Linked DNA regions of Arabidopsis thaliana. The protein of the gene in region 1 interacts with the protein of each later gene in a pairwise test. Each region holds a gene or a part of one and is shown on either strand. Other genes may lie near its edges.

The links.
Region 2: the proteins of KIN10 (region 1) and PANK2 interact in binary tests that used the Arabidopsis thaliana proteins (3 or more experiments, as listed by UniProt).
Region 3: the proteins of KIN10 (region 1) and KAI2 interact in binary tests that used the Arabidopsis thaliana proteins (3 or more experiments, as listed by UniProt).
Region 4: the proteins of KIN10 (region 1) and AT1G22160 interact in binary tests that used the Arabidopsis thaliana proteins (3 or more experiments, as listed by UniProt).

What each region holds. Positions count from the first base shown.
Region 1 is NC_003074.8:30,673-36,404, forward strand, and holds KIN10 (SNF1 kinase homolog 10), read right to left. Parts: upstream 3,816-5,732; 5' UTR 3,472-3,815; coding exon 3,406-3,471; intron 3,309-3,405; coding exon 3,116-3,308; intron 2,992-3,115; coding exon 2,807-2,991; intron 2,705-2,806; coding exon 2,522-2,704; intron 2,430-2,521; coding exon 2,298-2,429; intron 2,182-2,297; coding exon 1,996-2,181; intron 1,905-1,995; coding exon 1,815-1,904; intron 1,706-1,814; coding exon 1,622-1,705; intron 1,549-1,621; coding exon 1,411-1,548; intron 1,326-1,410; coding exon 1,089-1,325; intron 879-1,088; coding exon 765-878; 3' UTR 509-764; downstream 1-508. Other genes in the region: AT3G01085 (Protein kinase superfamily protein), read left to right, coding at 140-150; HYP1 (hypothetical protein 1), read right to left, coding at 4,341-4,469, 4,650-4,883, 5,180-5,455, 5,542-5,732. UniProt on the Arabidopsis thaliana protein: Catalytic subunit of the probable trimeric SNF1-related protein kinase (SnRK) complex, a central regulator of cellular energy homeostasis, which, in response to seemingly unrelated darkness, sugar and stress conditions, activates energy-producing pathways and inhibits energy-consuming processes.
Region 2 is NC_003075.7:15,537,945-15,545,874, forward strand, and holds the start of PANK2 (pantothenate kinase 2), read right to left. Parts: upstream 6,011-7,930; 5' UTR 5,772-6,010; coding exon 5,516-5,771; intron 5,347-5,515; coding exon 5,131-5,346; intron 5,012-5,130; coding exon 4,959-5,011; intron 4,705-4,958; coding exon 4,588-4,704; intron 4,286-4,587; coding exon 4,166-4,285; intron 4,041-4,165; coding exon 3,946-4,040; intron 3,870-3,945; coding exon 3,776-3,869; intron 3,650-3,775; coding exon 3,518-3,649; intron 3,350-3,517; coding exon 3,237-3,349; intron 3,148-3,236; coding exon 2,955-3,147; intron 2,246-2,954; coding exon 2,037-2,245; intron 1,919-2,036; coding exon 1,874-1,918; intron 1,782-1,873; coding exon 1,733-1,781; intron 1,616-1,732; coding exon 1,533-1,615; intron 1,381-1,532; coding exon 1,264-1,380; intron 1,194-1,263; coding exon 1,130-1,193; intron 1,012-1,129; coding exon 865-1,011; intron 772-864; coding exon 613-771; intron 486-612; coding exon 402-485; coding exon of another isoform or gene 396-401; and 4 more. Other genes in the region: AT4G32190 (Myosin heavy chain-related protein), read left to right, coding at 7,108-7,170, 7,457-7,930. UniProt on the Arabidopsis thaliana protein: Catalyzes the phosphorylation of pantothenate the first step in CoA biosynthesis. May play a role in the physiological regulation of the intracellular CoA concentration. Functionally redudant with PANK1.
Region 3 is NC_003075.7:17,616,144-17,620,545, forward strand, and holds KAI2 (alpha/beta-Hydrolases superfamily protein), read right to left. Parts: upstream 2,514-4,402; 5' UTR 2,221-2,513; coding exon 1,853-2,220; intron 1,347-1,852; coding exon 902-1,346; 3' UTR 516-901; downstream 1-515. Other genes in the region: AT4G37480 (Chaperone DnaJ-domain superfamily protein), read left to right, coding at 3,118-3,441, 3,574-4,402.
Region 4 is NC_003070.9:7,821,131-7,824,495, reverse strand, and holds AT1G22160 (senescence-associated family protein (DUF581)), read right to left. Parts: upstream 1,431-3,365; 5' UTR 1,259-1,430; coding exon 963-1,258; intron 870-962; coding exon 722-869; 3' UTR 525-721; downstream 1-524. Other genes in the region: SULTR1;3 (sulfate transporter 1;3), read right to left, coding at 3,152-3,295.

The DNA.
Region 1 (5,732 bases):
AAAGCCCAAGTCAGTGTGAAATTATTCAATTTCAGGTTTACCAAAAGATAATTGTGTCTTTTTTTATTATTATTACAAATTTCCTTGTATTTTTGTGAGAGTTTATCTCACACTTGATGTGTTTTTTTTTTTTTTGCAGGAGAAGATTAACTGGTAGGTAAAACCACACGTTGGAAACTTTTGAAATTCTTTTTGGGCTTGTTTTTGAGTTTGTATAGTTTTTGGATCTTAGTTCGAAATAAACACATCAAGCTCATCCTAAATGTTCGTTTTTCAATGTCTTAATATTAGTAGGATGACAAAAACAAAAAACAACTATTTTTGAATTTGCTAATTTGTTTACACAAAAAATATAGTGTAATATTGACCCATCAAATAATACACGAAACAAAAACAACTACTTCTGAATTTGCTAATTTGTTTTCAATGAAACTAATTTAAACATCTTTCCTTCAATTTTTGTCAAAATGTCTTTCCCTTAACTTATTGATTTTAATCATAAGAAATATGGAGTAAACAAAAACAAAAATCAATCTTGGTGGCATGATGCACTACAAGTTATGTACAAAGTGTCTTTTTTTTACTCTTGCTCAGTCTTACATTTAAGTTAAAAGAGGTATTTGAGTAGAGCACGCATATAGAAATAGAAAGAAAGAGAAGAAGAAAAAAAGGGTTACGTTTTCTAAATAATTTCTTAGACGAATAAGAAAAAAAAAAAAAAAGGAATAAGTGGGGATTATTCTTGAAGAGGTCCGGTTTAGTATTCAGAGGACTCGGAGCTGAGCAAGAAAAGCAGCACACAGATCCAAGAACAAGAACTGAGGACCTTGTACTCTCTGCAAATCCAGTAGATACTTGTCGTCCCGAGTTTTATACAACTGTTTCACCATCAACAATAACAAACGTCATCAAGCCCAGAAAATATTGATTGATAGTTAGATTCATGAAGATTCACTCTAGTTCTAATTCAGTTACAAAAATGGCCATGGACACTAATACACAAAGCTTTCTTTCACTCGAAATCACACATCAGAAACAATGTCGTACGGGAAACCGATATGTATCATGAAGTGGAGAAGAGGATTTACCTGAATTTCAAACTTGACAACATTGGGCGACTTAACAGCTGCTTCGTTCTCTATTATGCTGGACTCGTCTCCAAAGTAGTTGTTATCGTGCATCGAGTTACTGAGCATACCATCTGCGCTGCTGTTAGGAACCCATCTGCACTTCATGTTGTAGTGCCCTATCTTCTTCCAACATACATTCAAATCTTGCAGGGCTTTCAGGACTTCCGTCATTATTTCACGGGGATGAGCCCGAGACTGTGCGATCAAATTGTTACAATATTAATCACATATATATCAAAAGCTGAAGTCTTTATACCATAAATACAGAAAATATCAAAACCTGAAGTCCAAGAGCCCATTTTCTCTCAACAGGGTATTGAGATCTCAAGCCAACTCCTTGATATTCCATCAGTCCTGGAAGCCGATGGCTAACAGGTGAAGCAACGCTTTCTGCTGGATGCATACGGGGAGTACCTTCCTGATTAAATCAAACAATGAAGCATTACGTCAAAGATCTTTTGCTAAAGTCGAAAAGGACAAAAAAGACTAACCATGGTCTCTTGAAACTCAGCCCCGAGATAACCACTAGAGGCACGGAAACGATTGTCCAGTATCAGATAGTACGTCACAGTGCCCTGGAAGACAGTCGGTAAGAATACAGTATTTAAGATCTTTTGATGGAATTTTTTTTAATCTTTGAAATGAAAGAAACAGCAAAAGAACAAGTGGGTGGGAAACACATACATCATTCTGGGTTCGGTTGCGGAGCGATTCGATGAGGTGGTTTCTGTCAAATCCCATATTGATAACTTCTTGGAGAATCTCCTCGTCAATCTACAAATGAAGACAGCGCTTTTACGCCTTTATCGAAAAATGGGAATAGAGATTTCTCTAATGAAAATAAGAGTAGATACGTTAGGCTTACCTTTTTTGCCTGTTGCACAGTATCTGGAGGAGGAACAGCTAAATACCTCGGAAGATGAGCTTGGAACCAAGGGTGTTGCCGGATCTCAGGGATGGTTACTCGTTTCATGGGGTCAACTACAAGCATCCGGGGGATCAAATCTCTAGCACCAGGAGATAAATGGCTAGGTAATGTGTATATCCCTCCCTATAGGACGAAAAGAGAAAAAAAAAAGGTTACAGTCGAAGGGTGATACGAAAAATAAAATAAAAAATTCAAGCATTAGTTCAAATAGACGAAAGAGGAGGAGTAATAGAATGTACCTTTATCTTCTTAAAAAGGTTGGGAATGTTTTCATCATCAAATGGAAGCGTCCCACAGAGAAGAGCGTAGAGTATCACACCACAGCTCCAGACATCTACTTCAGGGCCAGCATATAACTTGCCCGAAATTACCTGAAACAATTTATAGATCTCGACTATAACCTATCATTTGAAACAAGCCTAATTATAGTATTCCTCAGATACCTGAGGGCTGAAGCACTTACCTCTGGAGCGGCATAATTTGGACTTCCACAACTTGTCTTCAAAAAATGACCATCTCGCATTATGTTGCTCAGGCCAAAATCAGCAATCTTTACATTGCATTTAGAGTCCAAAAGCAAGTTTTCAGGCTTGAGGTCTCTGTGAACCACCATGTTTCGATGGCAGTATTCCACTCCTGATATTATCTACATCAAAGCCAAGTAGCTAATTCTTAACTCTCAAATATAATATAAAATCGAATGGTTGCTTGGAAAGTTACATGTTGATAAAATAAAATAAAAACATACCTGCTGAAAAAAGTTCCTCGCCTCATCCTCCTGCAATCTACCCTTCTCAACAATATAGTCAAATAGCTCACCAGAGTTCACATACTCCATGACAAGATAAATATCTGTGGGAGTCTCTATAACCTCATAGAGACGGATGATGTGAGGATGCATAAATAGTCTCAAGATTTTGATCTCTCTCCTCACTGCATCAAAGACCAAATAAGTTCAAAGGAAGGAAGACGAAAAAGAAGCTATATATTTATATATTCCAAGAGTACCGTGAAGTCACAACTAAGGTGGAATGGATACACAAAACAAAACTTGTACCTTTCTCCTCCATCTCCATGTTCTTGATTTTGCGACGATTGAGGATCTTGATAGCAACCTTATGTCCTGTCAATGCATGCTCAGCTATCTTCACCCTACCAAAGGAACCAATACCAAGAGTTCTCCCAAGCTTGTAATTTGGTAGAATCGATTCTACCCCACTTCTACTGCCTGTGCCTGATCCATCCATTCTCTACAAAAAAAGAGAGAGAGATATTAGATCTACTAGTACACAACACACAAAACAAACTGCAAAAGAGTAATAGGAACAAAAAGCAAGTAATTTTTACACTTTTGAAGATTCTGTGATCGATCGTTGAAGAAACTAAATTAAACTCATCTACTCGTTTGAACATGAGAATTTAGCGAGAATTAGGATCCCTTTTATTATCCAGAATAAACCAACCAACACTAAGAAGAGAGCTTAAAATAGCAATTTTCAGACTATCCCCAATTCGGAATATGAACCCTAATAATAATTCAATCGCAGAGGATTACTGGATCTCTCGTACCCGATTCAGAAATGACGATTTCAAGATCAATCCATTGATTTGCAAAAGGGCGAGAATTTTTTTTATTTCCGAAATAAGAAAATTGAGAGATATCGAAACTTACCAAAAATTAAAAAAGGCGGAGGAGAAAATTCGGAACCAAAAAATGCAGCAAAAAAAAGTCCCAAAATTTTCTGAGCTGAAAAAGTAAAATTGAGGAAGATCCAGAGATCAGCTTAAACCCAGAAATTATTGATAGATTCTTCCTCTCGCTTTCATTGCTCTCGCTCCTGTAGCCTATAAGGCGCAAGCAAGTATCAAAGACGAAATTATTTGATTTTTGGTTCCATAAACGGATCAATCTTTAACTAAATTACCCCCAGAGTTACGACTAATTACAATATATACCCCCATGCGGACGTGGCATCTAGTCATCATCTTTTTGCTAAATATTCTCTGTGGTAAAATTATTAACCACCGTTTTGTTTTGGCATCTTTCAAAAAGTTTGTACCGTCTTAAACCGGTTTAGAGAGATACATTGACATAAACTTTTTTTCTTTTTTACACAAGCCAAGTGTAAGCAAATGTACAAGACAAAAACCGCTTGATTCTCGGTTAAGACCCAATGTACAAGACAACCGGTTTAGTGTGTTCTTTCATGGATTGCACCAGGTATAGTAAACCAACAGCTTCAACATAAGCAAACTTCAATAGCTCAAGTAAAAAGGTGATCTCAAGGTGAGATATCTCTCGAGTCCTGTGATGCCGAAAGTGCAGGATCTCGGTAAGCAACAACGAGTTCCGAATAGAATTCAGACATGTTTTGCTCTCTCTCGTCTGCTTTATCTTTGTTTACCAGACACTGCAAAAGTAAAACATCCATCATCACCATATAAAGGTTTAGAGTAGATGCTGTAATGTAATAAAGGACTATGCATCATGTTCTGTTTGTTTTGTTTAGGTTAGGAATAAAAGATTATCTAGCCATATTTTTCTTCCATTGGATCAAAAATATGAGTAACTATTTCTCTAAAGCCTTTACCTGGGTAGGATAAGATTTGAAATTTGGTAAAAACCGTCTTTGGCAGTAAATGCTGAAAAGGACCGTGAGAACCGGAAGGGGAATTGTTAAAGAAGATGCCACTGGAAGCTCTTTAAGCCCGAATAATCCGACTGCAATAATGTGCATTAGTACCAAAGAGAAGATAGTATAGCTGTGAACTATTGGCCAAAACTTTCCACCAGTTTCATACTTGGCCGCATATACGTTTAGGAGCTGCAGCACAAAAAGGTGATGTTATTTCTATCAACAAGTTGCAATGGATTCATTAAGAAGAAAAAGAATTATGTGACGAGAAAATGGATTCTTGATGTAACGTTTATGTCATGACTGAAGCTCCAAAAAATACTTTCGGTTTAAAGATGCTATTCGAGAATTTAGAAAAGGGATCACATATAAAGAGAAGATAAAAGTGAGATTCCATATAACGAAAATATGTGTAGCTGATTCCTATATGATTTTATCAGAGATCAACAGAGAATTATACTTAGGAGTGAGATTGGTTCCGTTACCTGGTTGCGGTAGATGATATATCCAAGACAATAGTAGACCAACAAGAAAGGCAGTATCAATGGCGAAAGGAAGAAGTAAGTTATACCGAGGAGTCCAAAAAATAGAATCCTTGGGATTTCTTGGCAGAAAGGAGTTGAAGGAACCTCAAATTCTTTGTCATCTTCCTTGCCGAAAAGTTTCGTTATGAAACTCCAAAGAAGAGGAACCAAACGGAGGATCTCTGATGATAAACCAGTCCATCCAGAGGTCACAACATAAGATACAAAGAACGATGCCTACACCAAAGATTAAACAATAAACATGACTCGTGGTACGAAAAGGGAATTCCGGAAACCTCAATACTGAATTTTGTGTTCTTTACCTGTGCTGGCACAGCTGCAGCAAGCACACGAGGAATAGTCTTAGGTTCAAGGAACACATTAACACGATAAAGGGCAGATCCGGACAGTACATTTGCAAAGAAACTGTTCCATACAGTAAAGATTAGAAGCTTGATACATGCAGATTTCTCAATCTGGCTATGAGAAATGAATCCTTGCATTGAGGAAAGTA
Region 2 (7,930 bases), on another chromosome or scaffold:
GTGCTCTTCCCATACCTTCCAAGACAACCTGCAATATTGTTAAACATCAAATAAAGAACAAAGCTTCTCTTTTTTGATGTGTTTGAAGTTTATGTCAGGTAGAAAACAGAGAAGGTTTTGTAGATACAAGATCAGCGTCTTTGGCAGCGGCTGCAAGCTCAGAGCTGACTTGTCTGAGGTCGATACAAGGACTTCCACATCCATTTTCAACAACCATCAATGGTGCTGACGTTGAATCCTTCTTTGATCCATCCCCTGGATTTACCATCGCATCCACAAGTAAGCCTCCCATTTCTGCCGCTCTCCTCAAGATGTCACAGTGCTTCAAGAGTAAAGACCGAACAAAAGAGTTAGTTACATGAAAGAACATCATAAACACTGCACAGAATCGAAAGTTAAACCTTAGCAGCCCCAGCGACTATATCAGGCAGTTCCATAGCGGTCACGTCGTTAAGAGCAGGAAGAGAGTTTGCCACTAGAACAACCTGGGGAATCATAATAACATTTTGTTTAGTGTTTCCTCAACTAATTTCACAATGAAATCATTTGGTCTGTGCATTTGATTTTGTGAAGAGAAGATTACTATAGGAAGAGCTAGAGAGAGACACGTACTTCAGTCCCTCGACGGAGAAACTCTCGAGCAAGAGGAAGCATCCCAAGAATGACATCTGCTCCCGAGTTATCAACAAAAAGTAATGCTCTTTTATGTCGATGAGGCTGCTTACCTCCAGATCCAAGCATCCTTTCTTTGAAAGCATCAAAATCGTCTACCTGATTTTACGGACCAAAAAAGATTTCCAGCTTCAAATTAACAGTTAGGAAAAAGTAACCTCAGCGGGGAAAAAGGGTGGTCTTGTCTCTCACCCTCCACGGTCTCTGCATCTTGTTGCGACTCATTCTGTATATTTCAATAATGGTTCCTTTGTGATATAGATCCACACATGCTCGAGATCCCCAGTCAAATATGTTTGCAGCAAGAACACCTTCTATAAGTGTAAGCAACCTTGCCTCCTGAAAAATCCGAGCACAATTGAAACACCAAGTAAGAAAAGTTGTCTCATGTATAGCACTGAAACGTTTAGTAGCAAACCATAAACCTACAAAGAGAGGAAGGTTAAAGGTCACAGACCTCGCTCATCGAATCAAGCTCCTCAAGTAAATCAGGTAAAACAGCAAGTGATGCCTCGTTCTCCCTATCAATTTCGAAGAAAGAGAGAGCATAAGAGCAACTCAAAGCAGGGGAGAGATAAGACTATCTTTTACCTTTGCTTGATGCTTCTATAGGCATCAACAAACTGGAATTCTCTTAAGCATTCTTCCCTAAGTTCCAAGAGATTTGCCAGCCCCAGCTTTCCATATGCAGCTGGCTCCTCCATTAATCTACAACCAAAAAAATTGTCAGTGAAAGGCAAAGCACAGAAAAAACAAGCTTTTCTTGAAGCGCTGTACTATGAATTTTCTGTTTGATAGATTGTGGTCAAAATTGCACAGCCTTGACTTGACAGAGAGGTATCTGTTGTGATGAACCAAACCTTGCCAAATGAGCAGAAAAAGCACGAGCAAAAGCATCACCCCGCCTTTTCGCATCCTCGGTTCCTCCTTCACTTGCTACAGCCTATAATCATGTCCATAGAATAATAGTACGTACCAGGCCTTAAAGAATCTTCACCACCCAAAAAGTAACATTACTGAAGATGGAAAAGAAATCCTATGTGTTAACTTTAACAGTTACCGTATCAACGAGGTCTGGCAAATGCTCGGACAAAACTTTGAGCCAGTACCTATACCCCACCAGAAAATAAACAATATAAGAAAAAGTGACTTCATCAAATAAAACCAGTGTTTGGAAGATCAGCATCGACTTATAACTCACTCTCGTTCGCCTTGATCTGATAGATCAATCGTGTTAGGCTCATACCTGGGGTAAAACAAATCGATTAAACACACGAACATAAAATCTCCAAAATCATGAACAAGCAGCAAACCAGGACATATATGTACAAGCTCAATACATTACTCAGGGACATGCCACTTACGTTTTCGGATCAGCTAGTAATGGGAACACCTCCAATGTGGGCACAAGATGGAGAACACCAACATTTAAAGCACTGGCGTCAGATCTTAAAGCACTACCTCTGGATGATGGAACTTCAAACCCTCCAAGCCCAGTCGTTTTTGATGGAGTCATTGGTACAGGAGCAGTTATTTCAGTTCCTCTACGCACAAACTTCTCCATCCACGAAATCTGAAAGCAACCAGGAAAGCCTTTTTAAACTCCAAAACTTATCTAGAACAGAGTCAAGACACACAACACTTATAACTAGTTGATGTGATATCTCTCTACCATTAGCACAAGGAAAGTGGGAAAAAAGCACTTGATTCCATCTCGTTTTTGATATATACATAAAAGAAAAGAGAATATAACTGTGACAGATTTGAAAACGAGGTTTTTCTTACTCTTGCTTTCTATTATTCGTTTGTCACACAAAATGATACTTTGTATATAAAAAGGAAAGAACCAGTAAACTTCACAGCGAAAAATATCCATACAAGCATAAACTATGACTAATCATCAAGATTAATGATTGAGTATCCAAAAAAATTCAGTCAGCACACAAACCATGGAAAGGAACAAGTCATAGTGCACTTCAACAGTCTCAAAGTATCCGACCATCTCCTTCGGCCATAATATTCAGTAAGTCCATGGAAGATCAAACATTTGCCAAAAGATTCCAATTTCAAGAAAAGCATATTCTACAATGCAACTGCCTAAAGAATACTATAATGGTAACCAGCATACACTTTACCCAGCACAAGGCATAAATGGTATCATATTCCCGCACTTTCATATTTTGAGAAGTCCCATGTCATTACGGAATTTTTTTGGCTGTCAGTTTCAAAGTATTAAATAGAACAAACTGAGACTTTGGTAAAGCGTAAGCTAAATTTCGTACCTTCTCGTCCAAATCACCGAGTGGTGGTCCGTGAATATTTCCTCCAGTATATGGTGCACCCATTGGGAACCTCTCAACCAACTGATGGGACATTAAATCATCCAATCCGTGCTTCTCATAGCTCATGAACGCACCTAGAGCACCCAGAAAACCTTCATGTCTCAAGAACATAGCTTGCATCTCTCCCTTAGACCTAGTGTAGTCAAGCAATAAATAAATAAGTTTGAGTGAAGAAGGTGAGTACGCATATCACATCTAGGTCAAGTTTACAAGTGAAGTTACCAGAAATGTACAGCAAATGAAATTGTATCCATGGTATATGCATGACCCCTTATGAAAAATCCTCCAAAAAATATTCGCTTCAACCCAAAGCGAAGGGCATTCAAGTACGATATCTACACAGCAACAAAACAAATCAGAAACTCATAATATTCTCAATAACTTATCACATTCACTGATCAAAACTTCCAAATGGAATCATGCTTAGGAATAAAAATGAGAAACATTTAGGCTTATTCTTGCTTAAGAACTTCGTTGAATCCTTTGGACTCGCCAATGCATACCTGCCCAATATTGTATGAAATCATCCGCAACAGAGACAAGGAAATATCTTCAGGTCTGTAATCGTCCAGTTCCTTATTTTCAGATATCGCCTTGCCAAAACTAGAAGCTATTGTTGAAGCAGAGAGACCAATCTGTATGATTGATTAATGAGAATTACTAGAACAGTAGTAATAAAGCATTCTGAGTTTCAATAGGAGAGTAGTCACATCCTATAACAAATGAGATCACATGTAGTTTGATGCAAAGTTGACTCCTACCTTGGAGTAATCCATGCCACCATAAATATCACCAACGAGCATGTCAATGGCACTATTATCTCCCTTTTGGCTGAGTTCTAGCAATTCATCAAAACTGAAACAAAAGAAAACAGTGTAAGGTATAGGAAACAAAAATATAAAGAAATAATGTAAAATCAGAGCTCTGTAACCTCTTGCACTTCGTTAGAAGTCTTCCTAAGCCCCAATAGGTACCACCGCCAACATTAGTTCCACTCACACGTTCAAACTTTCCTTCACCATCAACCTATACTTTGAAAAGCCATTGCATGAAATCTACAGGTCCATGCAATCTTCTGACCTCCCAATTCAGAAGTTCAAGGAGCCAAACACACACTGATTGTGAAAAAAGTAGCAAACGTAAACAAATACCTTGATTATGCTAACACCAGATCCAACGTTCACAAGAAGATAAGGATACAAGTCATTGGGATCTATCTGTACAAATTCTTTCTCACCCTCCATGTGCGTAAAGGCTTCATGTCGAATAGCCTGCAGAAAATGCAAGAAACTAAGAATAAATTCAAAACATACACATGCAAATAGACAAAAGAAAAGTAGACTAATTGCAAAATTTCAATAGTCTTAGCAGAACTTTAAGTATAGTAAAACACACATACAGATATCCAGCTGTTTTTCTCTCATGTGACTCAGAACTTCAACAAACAAATCAACCGGTCACATATAATGAGAGTCTGTCTTTACGTTTCTATTTCGCAAGTGCTAGTAATAAAAGGTACAAATATGTATGCAGAGACAACATAAATGGAATGTTGCATAAAGAAAGGTCTTACCTTGAGCAAAAAATTTGCTCCAGAAACAAGACAATGCATTTCATCTTCTTTCTCAATACTAACGCCCAGCCGTTCCTTGAACAAGTCTGCAAATTTAAATGCCCCGCCACCTGTGACCTGAAAGATACACGTACGCTTGACTCATATGTTTAAAACAAGTAATAATCAACTAATCAAAGCCGAATCAGCAAATCACATTACATGGATATACAAGACTTATAAATATAAAAAACGTTTCACCTAAAAACAATAATTATGAGGGTCTTAAATGTTATCTGGTATCTCAAATGAAAGAGCGAGCTAAATATATGCAGAAGGAGCCTCAAAAGGTGATAAAGATAAAAACAATCAAGTCATAAAAATGCGATTACCTTGATAACACCAGTCCCCAAAGGCAAGGTCTTTGAACTCCAAGGATAAGGATCTATTCATTTAGTTGAAAAGAAATGGAGAAGAAGACGAATTGAAGAGTAAATCACCAGAAATTGATCTTATAATACAAAACAACATTTCATACACTGAAAAGGATAAAAGTAATAATACCTCGGCGATGAAGCTGCTTGGAATGAATAAAATCCAAGCACTCATTAATTTTGTGAGTCTCAAACTTGACAAAATGAAGTCTACCACCAAGAACAGGATAACTTCTCAAGTTGCCATTGGTAATACCCAATCTCTCCTTGATCGTCCTCTTCCGCTTATCATCATCATTAGAGTAGTCCTCATGTCGTGAAAAATACAACAACTTTATCAAAGAACCTGCAAATAAACTTAAAAGGGTTCATAATTCTCAAACATAGCACTTAAGAAATAAACATCGAAATTGCCAAAACCAAGAAGTGACACCAAATACTACTGGAAGAACCACAAGCACTAGATCAATGGTCAACTACAGTGAAAATAAAAAAGAAGTGAAATTTGTTGTCACCTCCGATATCAAGAGCCAAATGAGAGATATCATCAGACTGATTAGGCAATAAAATGGTGGGATCTCTCTCCTCGAGGTTCCCCTGAATTTCGGCTTTGCTTAGATCAAGCTGAGGTCTAGAGCCTGATCTGTGGATCGGAGTACCAGAAGTAGAAGGAGCCATATTTTTATCAGCAGCAACAGAAACCTGAGATTTTGCTTCAGCTTCTCTTTTATTGTCAAGAATTGGATCATACTCATCCTCTTGACCCGCCATTTTTTTTTTTTATTAAAAAATAAAAAAGGAACCCAACCAAACCCAGAAAAATCGGATCACCAACAATTGCCTAATTCTCCCAAACCACCACAAAACCCTTCCTTGCAAAGTTTAAAAAGTCAAACGACACGAACTGATGATGATAAGACTTTCCAGGGTAAAGAAGTAAACTGTTCGAGCTTTTGCTAATACGATTATACGACTAAGCTTAGAATCGCTTAAGCAGGCTGAAGCGGACCTAACTCCAAACAAAATTTGTATTTATATATAATTGTTTGTTAACTAATTAACTACCACATAAATTTCCCAAAAAAAAAAAAAAACTACCACACAAATTTGTAGTTTTTAATGAATTTGTAAGTGGATTAGGTTTGGTGTTTCACAATAATGACCAAACTCGAACTCCACTTGCCACTTATGAGTTTTTCCAAGTCATAGATGAGGATTACTGTGTTGGTTTCGATATCTTAATTAATCCGTCACACTTAATTCTTTATGTTTTACGATTTTTTGAAGTTTAAGATTTTGCTAACATTACACTATTCACGATAAATCACTTTTTCAGATTTAAGATATTTTTCGCCGGAATTTAGAAGGTAGGATATCCTTTAAAATGCTTTTGTGAAGATGGATTATATTATACAATTGGACTATTTGGTGTAGATAAAATCTTATGTGGGAAACAAATATTTTAGGAACACTAAACCAAAAATACCATTGTTACATTTTTTAATGATAAAAAAGTTCACTTGCAAATGTAACAAGATACAACCTCGTTGGGTTGATATGTTAAGAAAACTAGCTGATGGATTGGTTTTTCATTGGGTCTATTGGGCCAATGTCATGGGCCTGATGACTTTTATTCAGTTTCTTAAATTTATATTCCAGTTTAATATAACATACTCTTTAGTGTGTAAGCATTTCTAACCACGCGACTAGCCGACTACGCGAAAGAAAGAGAATTGTCATACTAGAAAACCGTTACCACGTACGTAATTAAGAAGAGTCCATTATTTTTACAAATAGATCCCTTGGCCGTGTATTTGGACAATGCCGACATGCATCTTATGAATAAGGGCAAAAAGGACTTTCGAGTTTACTGGCGACCACAACTCGCAAGCCAACGCGAGCCTCTATTTATTATTTTGTATCCTTTTTTTTGGTAAAAGAATTTTGTAACAATATCCATTCCCTAGCTAGATTCTTCTTCTTCTTCCTTGGATTTGTTCTCGTAAGCATTCTTCTCCAAAACGCCCACTTGTTAAATTTGATCCAGTGGATTTGGGTTTTGTTCCGTCTTTAAGCTCCATGGCGATTGCATAATTATGCTCTCAGGATGGGTTTCTCTCAGGCCATTCGCTTGAATCTTGCTTCCTTCTCCTCTCCCTCTCCCTGCGATGTTTGTTTCCTTACCTTTCTCTATATTATCCCCTATATTTTCATTTATATATCGCTGCTGATTCACAACACTTTACTTACTCTTAACTTTATCAAACTTGAATTTTTGACTTTTGCTGGCCTTGTTCTGATTGTTCCTTGTTCTGGCTTAAAAAGATTGCAAATTTCAATACTGTTCCTTTAATTTGAATAAGTTTGCTTGCATCCATATTGATTAGTGTCTGTCCAAAATAATCAAACTTTTGATTTTGATTTTGATGTCGGCCATATGATTTTTTCTTATGCAGTATTGTTTGACAAGAGTAGTAAACCATAAGCAGAAGAGTCTTGTCGCATTCCCGAGCATTACAAGGAGAAAGAGACATCTTTTACTGAGTGTTCAATCAGTCTTGCACAATACAAGACCCAACATCAACGACAATGGCTCAGCTGAGTCTGCAAATGTTCTTTTCGATAAATTATTTGCTCGGACACACAGATTGGAGAGACAAACCAATCAACACTCGGTTTATCCTGACGATGATGATCTCCCCTATTCAAACCTTGGCGTGCTTGAGTCTGACCTTGAGGCTGCGCTAGTGGCCTTGTTGAAAAGGGAAGAGGACCTGCACGATGCTGAGAGGAAGCTTCTCTCTGACAAAAATAAACTTAACCGGGCAAAGGAGGAGTTAGAAAAACGTGAGAAAACAATCTCTGAAGCTTCGTTGAAGCATGAGAGTCTACAAGAGGAGCTGAAGCGGGCAAATGTGGAGTTAGCTTCT
Region 3 (4,402 bases), on another chromosome or scaffold:
AGTATTTGACTTTTTTTTTGGGTAGGCTAATCATAGTATTTGACTAGTGATGAAGAAATAATATTGTACCAAATGATATTTAAATTTCAATAATAAAATAATTTTAAGAAAATAAATAGAAGTTTTATATAAAGTGAATTATAAAATGGAAGTTTAATCATAGTATTGACTAGTAAGAAGCAATACAATATTTACCATTTTGTTTTGTATCACTAATTTTTTAAAGCTATTTACTTACCAATCTATAACTAATTTCATAAACAACAAATCGAATAAAATCTGAGCAGGCGCGTCAATAAAATTTGAAAGTTATTAGTGATAAATGATAATATAGAAAACAATATCTTTTGCACCGCATCCCTATAATAACATCAAACAAATCCATAATTTCATAAGCAAACAAACCTAACAAAATATGACTTAACTCCATCCTAATTCAAAACCCTAAATTTTCATTTTACTTTGTTTAAAACTTGGCTAATTTTTGTTCACAAACAAACAAATTTCAAAACCATCACAATATGTATGTTTTATGGTTTGGATTACCCATCCATAAATGCAAACTCAATGCTAATTCCTAGTATCACATGTTAATTACTCTTCACACAGTATAGCACAAGCACTCTTGCAAAGTTGCAATAATTCACTATGGACCATCAATTACGAACATCACTATTACATCAAGCAATAATGAGCTCTGAGCAAAGCTGTGGACAAAAGACAGAGACTTTTCGTTAAACAAGATAAGAACAACAAAGATCAAGATACTCAAGATAAACGAATCAGAACCAAACGACAACGAAATAATGTTCTCAATAGACTAGACAGACATATCACATCAGATATTTTTTTTCAACTTTTCTTACATCGTTTAATAATTAACTAATTAAATCTCTTACAATCACATAGCAATGTCATTACGAATGTGACGGAGGATGACAGGAATAACAGAATCTGGTGAGCTAAGCTGAGGAAGATGACCATCAGAAGGAATAACCTCGACGACGGATTCACAGCCAAGATTGGCGTGAAGATACTCGGAGACAACGACTGGTACAGCTAAGTCCTTAACACTTTGGAGAATGTGACACGGAACAGTGACAAAAGGTAAGATCTGTCTCATGTCACTTTGGAAAATGGTCTGGCCGACGGAGAGAGCTATGTCGGGACGCATATTGAAGAGTGTTCTGCTGAATTCTTGAACGGCGATGGAGTCCATGTCGCCACCGACGGCGAGTGGAGCGAAACCTAAGCACCACGCTTTGTAGTTGCTTCGGATGGCTTCGAATAGTTGGTTTAAGTCTTCTTGTTCGAATCCACCTTGGTAATCAACATCGTTTACGTATCTATAAACGTACCAAAACAATATAATTTGATTATATATGTTTCTTTTGTCAGAAGAAAATTAAAATATATAATATACTGTGTGAGCACCGTTTCAACAATTTTTTTTAAAAAAAGTGTAAGTAACACCTCAGTAAAACCAAATAAAAAAAAACAAATAAACAAATGGGTATTTCATGATTTTTTGTTCATAATTTACGGATTTTTATTGAAATATATAATGAAATGCTTCACTGATTTTGAGAAATAGGATAATTCAGACAAGAGGATAAACAAAGAGGCACTTTGTCGAAATTATGTCAGAATGAGAAATAAATATTTCGAAATAATAGATAATTGTGTAAATTTAAGGACTTAAGATGATTTTTTTTTATTTAAATTGTAATGTTTAATAGTTTTTATGAAATCAGACAAGAGAAGGAACAGAGAAGCCCTTTTGTCTAAACTATGTCAGGATGAGATAAAAAGCAAAACATATTTCTATGTACAACTTGTGAAAAAGTTATACCTCGGAGAAGCAGAGATCATGACGATTTTGGAGAAGAGATCAGGACGGTTAAGAGAAGCCAAGACACCAATCATGGCAGAAACAGAGTGGCCAACAAAGATACAAGACTCAATCTTGAGATCTTCCAAGATTGCAATCAAATCGAAAGAGTAGCCTTCGAGATTTGAGTAACGATCGAAGTCGAAATAGTCAGGGTTGGTCGTACCGGCTCCCATGTTGTCGTAGAGGACGACGCGGTAATCGTCGACCAGATGTGGAACCAAGTGTTTCCATACTGACTGGTCCGTGCCGAACCCGTGACCTAACACGATCGTGGCTTCTCCTGAACCAATCACCTTCACGTTGTGAGCTTCTTCTACCACACCCATCTCTCTAAAGAAGATTCTTCTCTGGTTTTCTTCTTGGTACCTCTCTTAGTCAGTTCGTGGAGAAATTATGATATTTGTGTTGTTTTAGAGTGTTACGTATTATTCTTTATAAAAAAATTCGTATCTGTGGAAGAGGAAATAAATTATTTAAAATATCGCGATTTACAGGTGGCAAAAAAAGGTGAATGGAACCATGTTTGTTGGATTGTCAAACATCGCTATTCGTGATAATTTGTTTTTTGGAATCAAGCCCAAAATATTTTGGAACATTTAATGGAGTACATGACGTGGAGTTACTGACTTCTGTTCAACAATAAAATTGTTACATTGGGTTACAAATACATGAACCAATTATTTTTAATTTTGTGCATGAATTTCAACAATGCATTAATGCGAAAGAAAATTAGTTTCAATCATTCAAAGAGTGGCAGCAAATAGTCAAAAGCTGATATAATTATTATTTTAACAACACTAGTTAAATTTCGCATGTATACAACTTGCAATGAATATAGCATCTAAAAACCTCATAATATTTGTTTTTTTCTGCTTGACTTTAACTTGTCAGTACTTTTCGATCATTTAGAAGTTAGAAGACATTAATTATTCATGGAATGCCATGGTGAGTATACGACCACGTATTCACATCCACTTCCTCATCATTTTAAGAGTCAAAAATATCTGTGAGAGGATCCTGGCCCATTAAAATTCAAGGCCCATTTAGTGTAATATGGCTTCATGTTCTCTCTTTCCTAAGACCGTTTTTACTGTTGACCAATAAAGTCTGAACTCGTGATGACGTGGCGTGAAATCGAGAGACCCACGTGTCATCGGCGTGCCGTTATCCTCTTTCCACTTCCGGTCTCCGTTCCCACCTGAGTAAACCATACTGGTCGTGAAATGACGATTCTCGCCGGGTTGATACGCCGGCGTTTTAGTAGATTAGTTCCGGTTCAACTGAATTACGGTTTCGAACCGTCGCGAATTCTCTTTAACCCGAGTCAAGGAAGAACTCGGTTGCTGAGCGGCGAGGCTGAGTCCAATCGGAACGAGTTTCCGGTGGAGAACGCTTACGATATCTTGAATGTCTCCGAAACCAGCTCAATCGCAGAGATCAAAGCATCATTTCGCAGACTCGCCAAGGAGACTCATCCTGATCTGATCGAATCCAAGAAAGATCCATCAAATTCGAGACGATTCGTTCAGATTCTCGCTGCTTATGAGGTACAATGAAGAAAGCTTCACTCTTCACTCTTATGATTAGTTTCAAAATCGAAAATTTCAAGCTTTTCAAGCTTTTGTGATAGAGTTATAGCTTTAGAAGTGTCTGATGAATGATTTGTGGTGATGATACAGATTCTATCAGATTCTGAAAAGAGAGCACACTATGATAGATATTTGCTATCTCGGAGAATGGTAATGAAGAAGCACTCGGGACAAGGTTATATGATTCACAGGTATAAAACAGGATTGACATTGAGTCAAGAGATGGAAGTAGTTGAATGGTTAAAGTGGTATAGAGAAGCAATACATGATATAGTATTGGAGAAGAGAGTAGCAAATGGTACTGGTTACTTAGATGAACTTGAAGAAGATTTTTATTCAGCTATACGAGCGGCCTACTTTGGGCCTGATGTTGAATCTGTTGAGCTTCTTCCTGATTGTTTTGAAGCTGAGGAAAGGTCTGTGTATGATACACGAGAGGTTTTGCATTTGGTATCAGGACGGGATCTTTTTGGTATGGTTTCCTTGGTTGATAACTTCCTTGAGCTTTCTTCTGCTTGCTCAAAGAAATTGGCTTTGTCGTCGTTTATGGATTCGGACCTTGGTCAAGCAGTTGAGAAAGGCAACAATGACATGATGTCTGCTGAAAGGATTGGTCTTCAGATATCTCATATACAATCTTCAAGAAGTAAAAACCATGTTTCTGATGCGTATAAAGATATTCAGCTGCATGTATCTGGAAGAGTTGTTGCTACAGCCATTAGGGTTCCCCCAAAAGGGTATCATGAAAAGAAACAAATTGAGGGTGATCACGATCTTATACACGTTTTCCTCAATTCAGATGAAGGATCTAATCATGGCACTGAATCGCCTCCGGGAAATGAAAGTGGTGCCAGACTTCTTGTTGGAACTATAAGTGGTCTTGGGACAATCCCAGATGAAGGTTCATGTTATGTCTATG
Region 4 (3,365 bases), on another chromosome or scaffold:
TTATTGGTTGGTTTTTCCTAAAGAATATTTTGCTTAAAACAAGAATTCTTTTATGAAGCAAAAGGAGAGCATTAGCCATTAGGAATCTATCAAAACTGAGACATGCAAAAAAGTAAGAATCTCTTAAAATGTTACAATGAGGGACCAGTCAATGCTAGGCTGAATAGGTATGAGATTCCTTACTTGACCAAAATCATATTCAAATATTCATTTTTTTTTGTTTCAATACAACAGAAAATGAAGAAATTCTATTGGATCATCCTTAATTCCTTATATTCGAAAGTAAGCATGAAGTTAAAACAGTACGGTAAATATATATTTTTGGTGGGTTGATATACATGAAATCCACAGTACATAAGGTACAAACTTGTATATCAATATATTAAGTTGGTATACAATTTTCACAAATACGATTTCGAATTTTCTTGATTTGTCAATTACTGACTGTAAAAAGAATTGAAATGGTGTGATATATCTAATCTCCACACAATAAATCTTTATCTTTTAATGGTAATTAATCAGATAGTTAGAAGTAGAATAATCAGTAGAACACAAATCTAATTAATATGCATAATACAATAATTCTTAAGATCAAAAGCAAGGTTTAAAGGATGATTAACATGGTTAATCACAGTCAATAGTGCTCAATGCTTTTTATACATAAAACAAGAACCATATAATACAATCATTACCGATAATATATAACATATGTAAAAGAGACCTACACGGCGGCGGAAACTCTCTCTCCTGTGGTGGTTCCGGTGGCGACGACGATGGTGGACCTCACCGAACCTTTCTTCTTCTCCTTCCTCTCGTCCACTGTAATTTGTTGTTGCCTGCACTCTAAACTACAAAACGCTCTATCTCCTCTGCTCATAATTTAACAACCAAAACCAAATCGTTAATTACATATCTAATCAAACCAAAACCATGAGATTAATCTTTAGGTCCTAAACTCATACCTATACATATAGATGTCACGGCCATGAACAAGAAGACGTTTACAAAGAGAGCAAGATCTTAGAAAATCTTCAGAATAATCACTTGAGTGTCTTCTCTGTGTACCTCTTGGTGAGACCATCGCTAAAAGCCGTTGATCTAACAATCTTTGATGAACTTGACGATGTTCATCAACGTTCACAAGCTGAATCTGATGATCGGATGGTTCTTGTTCGCTAGGTTGATTCAAATCGAACTTAATCTCAGATAGACTCGTGGTTCTCTTTATTGGTGGTCTCTGTCTCTTCCCTAGCAACATCGTTAGTCTTGTGTGGTTTTGGTTTCTCTCTTTTGTTTATTTGATGCTCTGAGTGAACAGAGCAAAGTGAAAGAGAGAAAGAGGGAAGTGAGAAAAGAGGAGACAGAGAAGATAAAAGAAGAGCCATAAACTGAGGAGTTAATCTGAGCCGTTGAGTTTGTCTGATCGATTCTATTCCCGTTTTAATTACGACACGTCATGATTCCGATTCTTTAAGTGTTTATTTTATTCGTTATTATTGCTTTTTTTTTCTTCTTCTTTCACAAATTATTTTGTCTTCTTCTTTTTCTTAAATCAATTATTTTGTGTAGGTGTATTCAATCATACAATTGAAATTGTATTATTTAGAATAACAATCAAGCAAATTTAAACTCTTAAAAAACTTGTTGTTATTAGTTTGTTTTTTTGCTAAATACTTGTTATTAGTTATTTTATTTATAGATATGTCTTAAAATGTAAGGCTATTAAACTAATAAATTAGCAAATCTTTGTTCCATAAATTCACTTAAAATCATCTGAAATCTTAGTTAAACTCAAGTTATTCAAAATAAAAAAAATAAAAAAATAAAAAAATAAAAAAAATAAAAAAATAAAAAAATAAAGTTATTCAAAATATTTGGCTGAATCACTCATTAGTTTATCCATCGATGACATTTATATAAAATAGTAAAATTTGAGGAAAAAAAGTGAAAAGTTTTAAAAATGGATGAGAAATAAAGTGAAAATGTTGTATTATAGCTCCTAACTTCTGGGCTACATTGTCCACTTCTGTGACCGATATGTCTCTTTACAATAGTAAAAAGGGCCTCCAACGTTTCACCACTTCCCAAGCCAAATTTCAATATCACTTGACCTCCCATTTATAATACCATTTCAAAATTTTATGACAAAACAAAACAGTTTTTTATTATTATCATTTGATGGAACATTGATTGATTGATAGTCCTTAGCATCTTTTGTTTTTTGTTATAAAAAATATGCACAAAAAACAAGTAGTGCTAAGTGCTAACTCGTTTTGATTGGTGCATTTGGGGACACTCGATTACAGTACAACAGAGTTGGCACATTGTACAAAATGGTCGGTCTCAAAATCTTACGTTTTGTACCATTTTTATTTCTCAATTAATGTTTTCGAGAAGAGATGTGAGTTTTTTTTTTTTACAGACGGTTTTATAATTCTATTTGCACGGTGGTTAAATTGTTTTAGTCAAATTCGTTTAAAATATAATGGTTTATGATTTTATAGTTAATTTATATTTAAAAAAACAGATCGATTGCCAAACGTATCTAATAGGCACCTAAAACATCAAACTAGGTCTATCAACTAGATAATAATACATGAAGAAAATTGATATCTAGATAACGACCGTCTAACGCTTAGACGTCTAAGCCATTATTATTTTAAATAAACAAAGGTCTTAATCTAGTTTATTGTGTACACAAGTGGGTTTCAACTTCTGGTCCACACATAATTATTTACGGAGAAATGTTTTCATTGTTTTTTTTTTCAATGTTCGAATCTTGAACACAAAACGTTTTGTCAAGGTTTCCCCACCAATAATAGTAGCAATAAAGTCGCTCGTTGCATTACGTTGATCAGATGTTAATGTTTGGGTTCCGATTTTATTCGTTTATATATTATAACTTATTATATAATCTCTATAGTTCAAAGTTATTGAAAACAATAACGAAAACTAATCCAGTAAATCCAAGCTTATCACGACTCTAAAAAAAGCTCTATATAGGTCAACTTTTACACTTGACCTCTACGTCACACGATTGGGGATAGATAAAAGATAAACAGAGCAAAGTCACTGACTACTCAATTCAGTCTATACAACATACAACACTTTATATCATTTTGCTTCATCATCAAGATTCTTCTTCTCCGGATCAGACCTCGTCGGACAGTTTAGGGGAGCAAGAATCCACGGCCTCAGCCACCGTCAGAAAGATTTTGTCGTGTCCTATCAAGTCCGCAAAGTGAGAAACATGTAGCTTATTTATGACCGGCGGTCCTGGATTCGCTAGAACCAACTGTTTTGGCACACAACCAAAAGAAGTGTTAGTCTGTTTCATAATAACTTCTTTAGAATCTAGGCTTAGC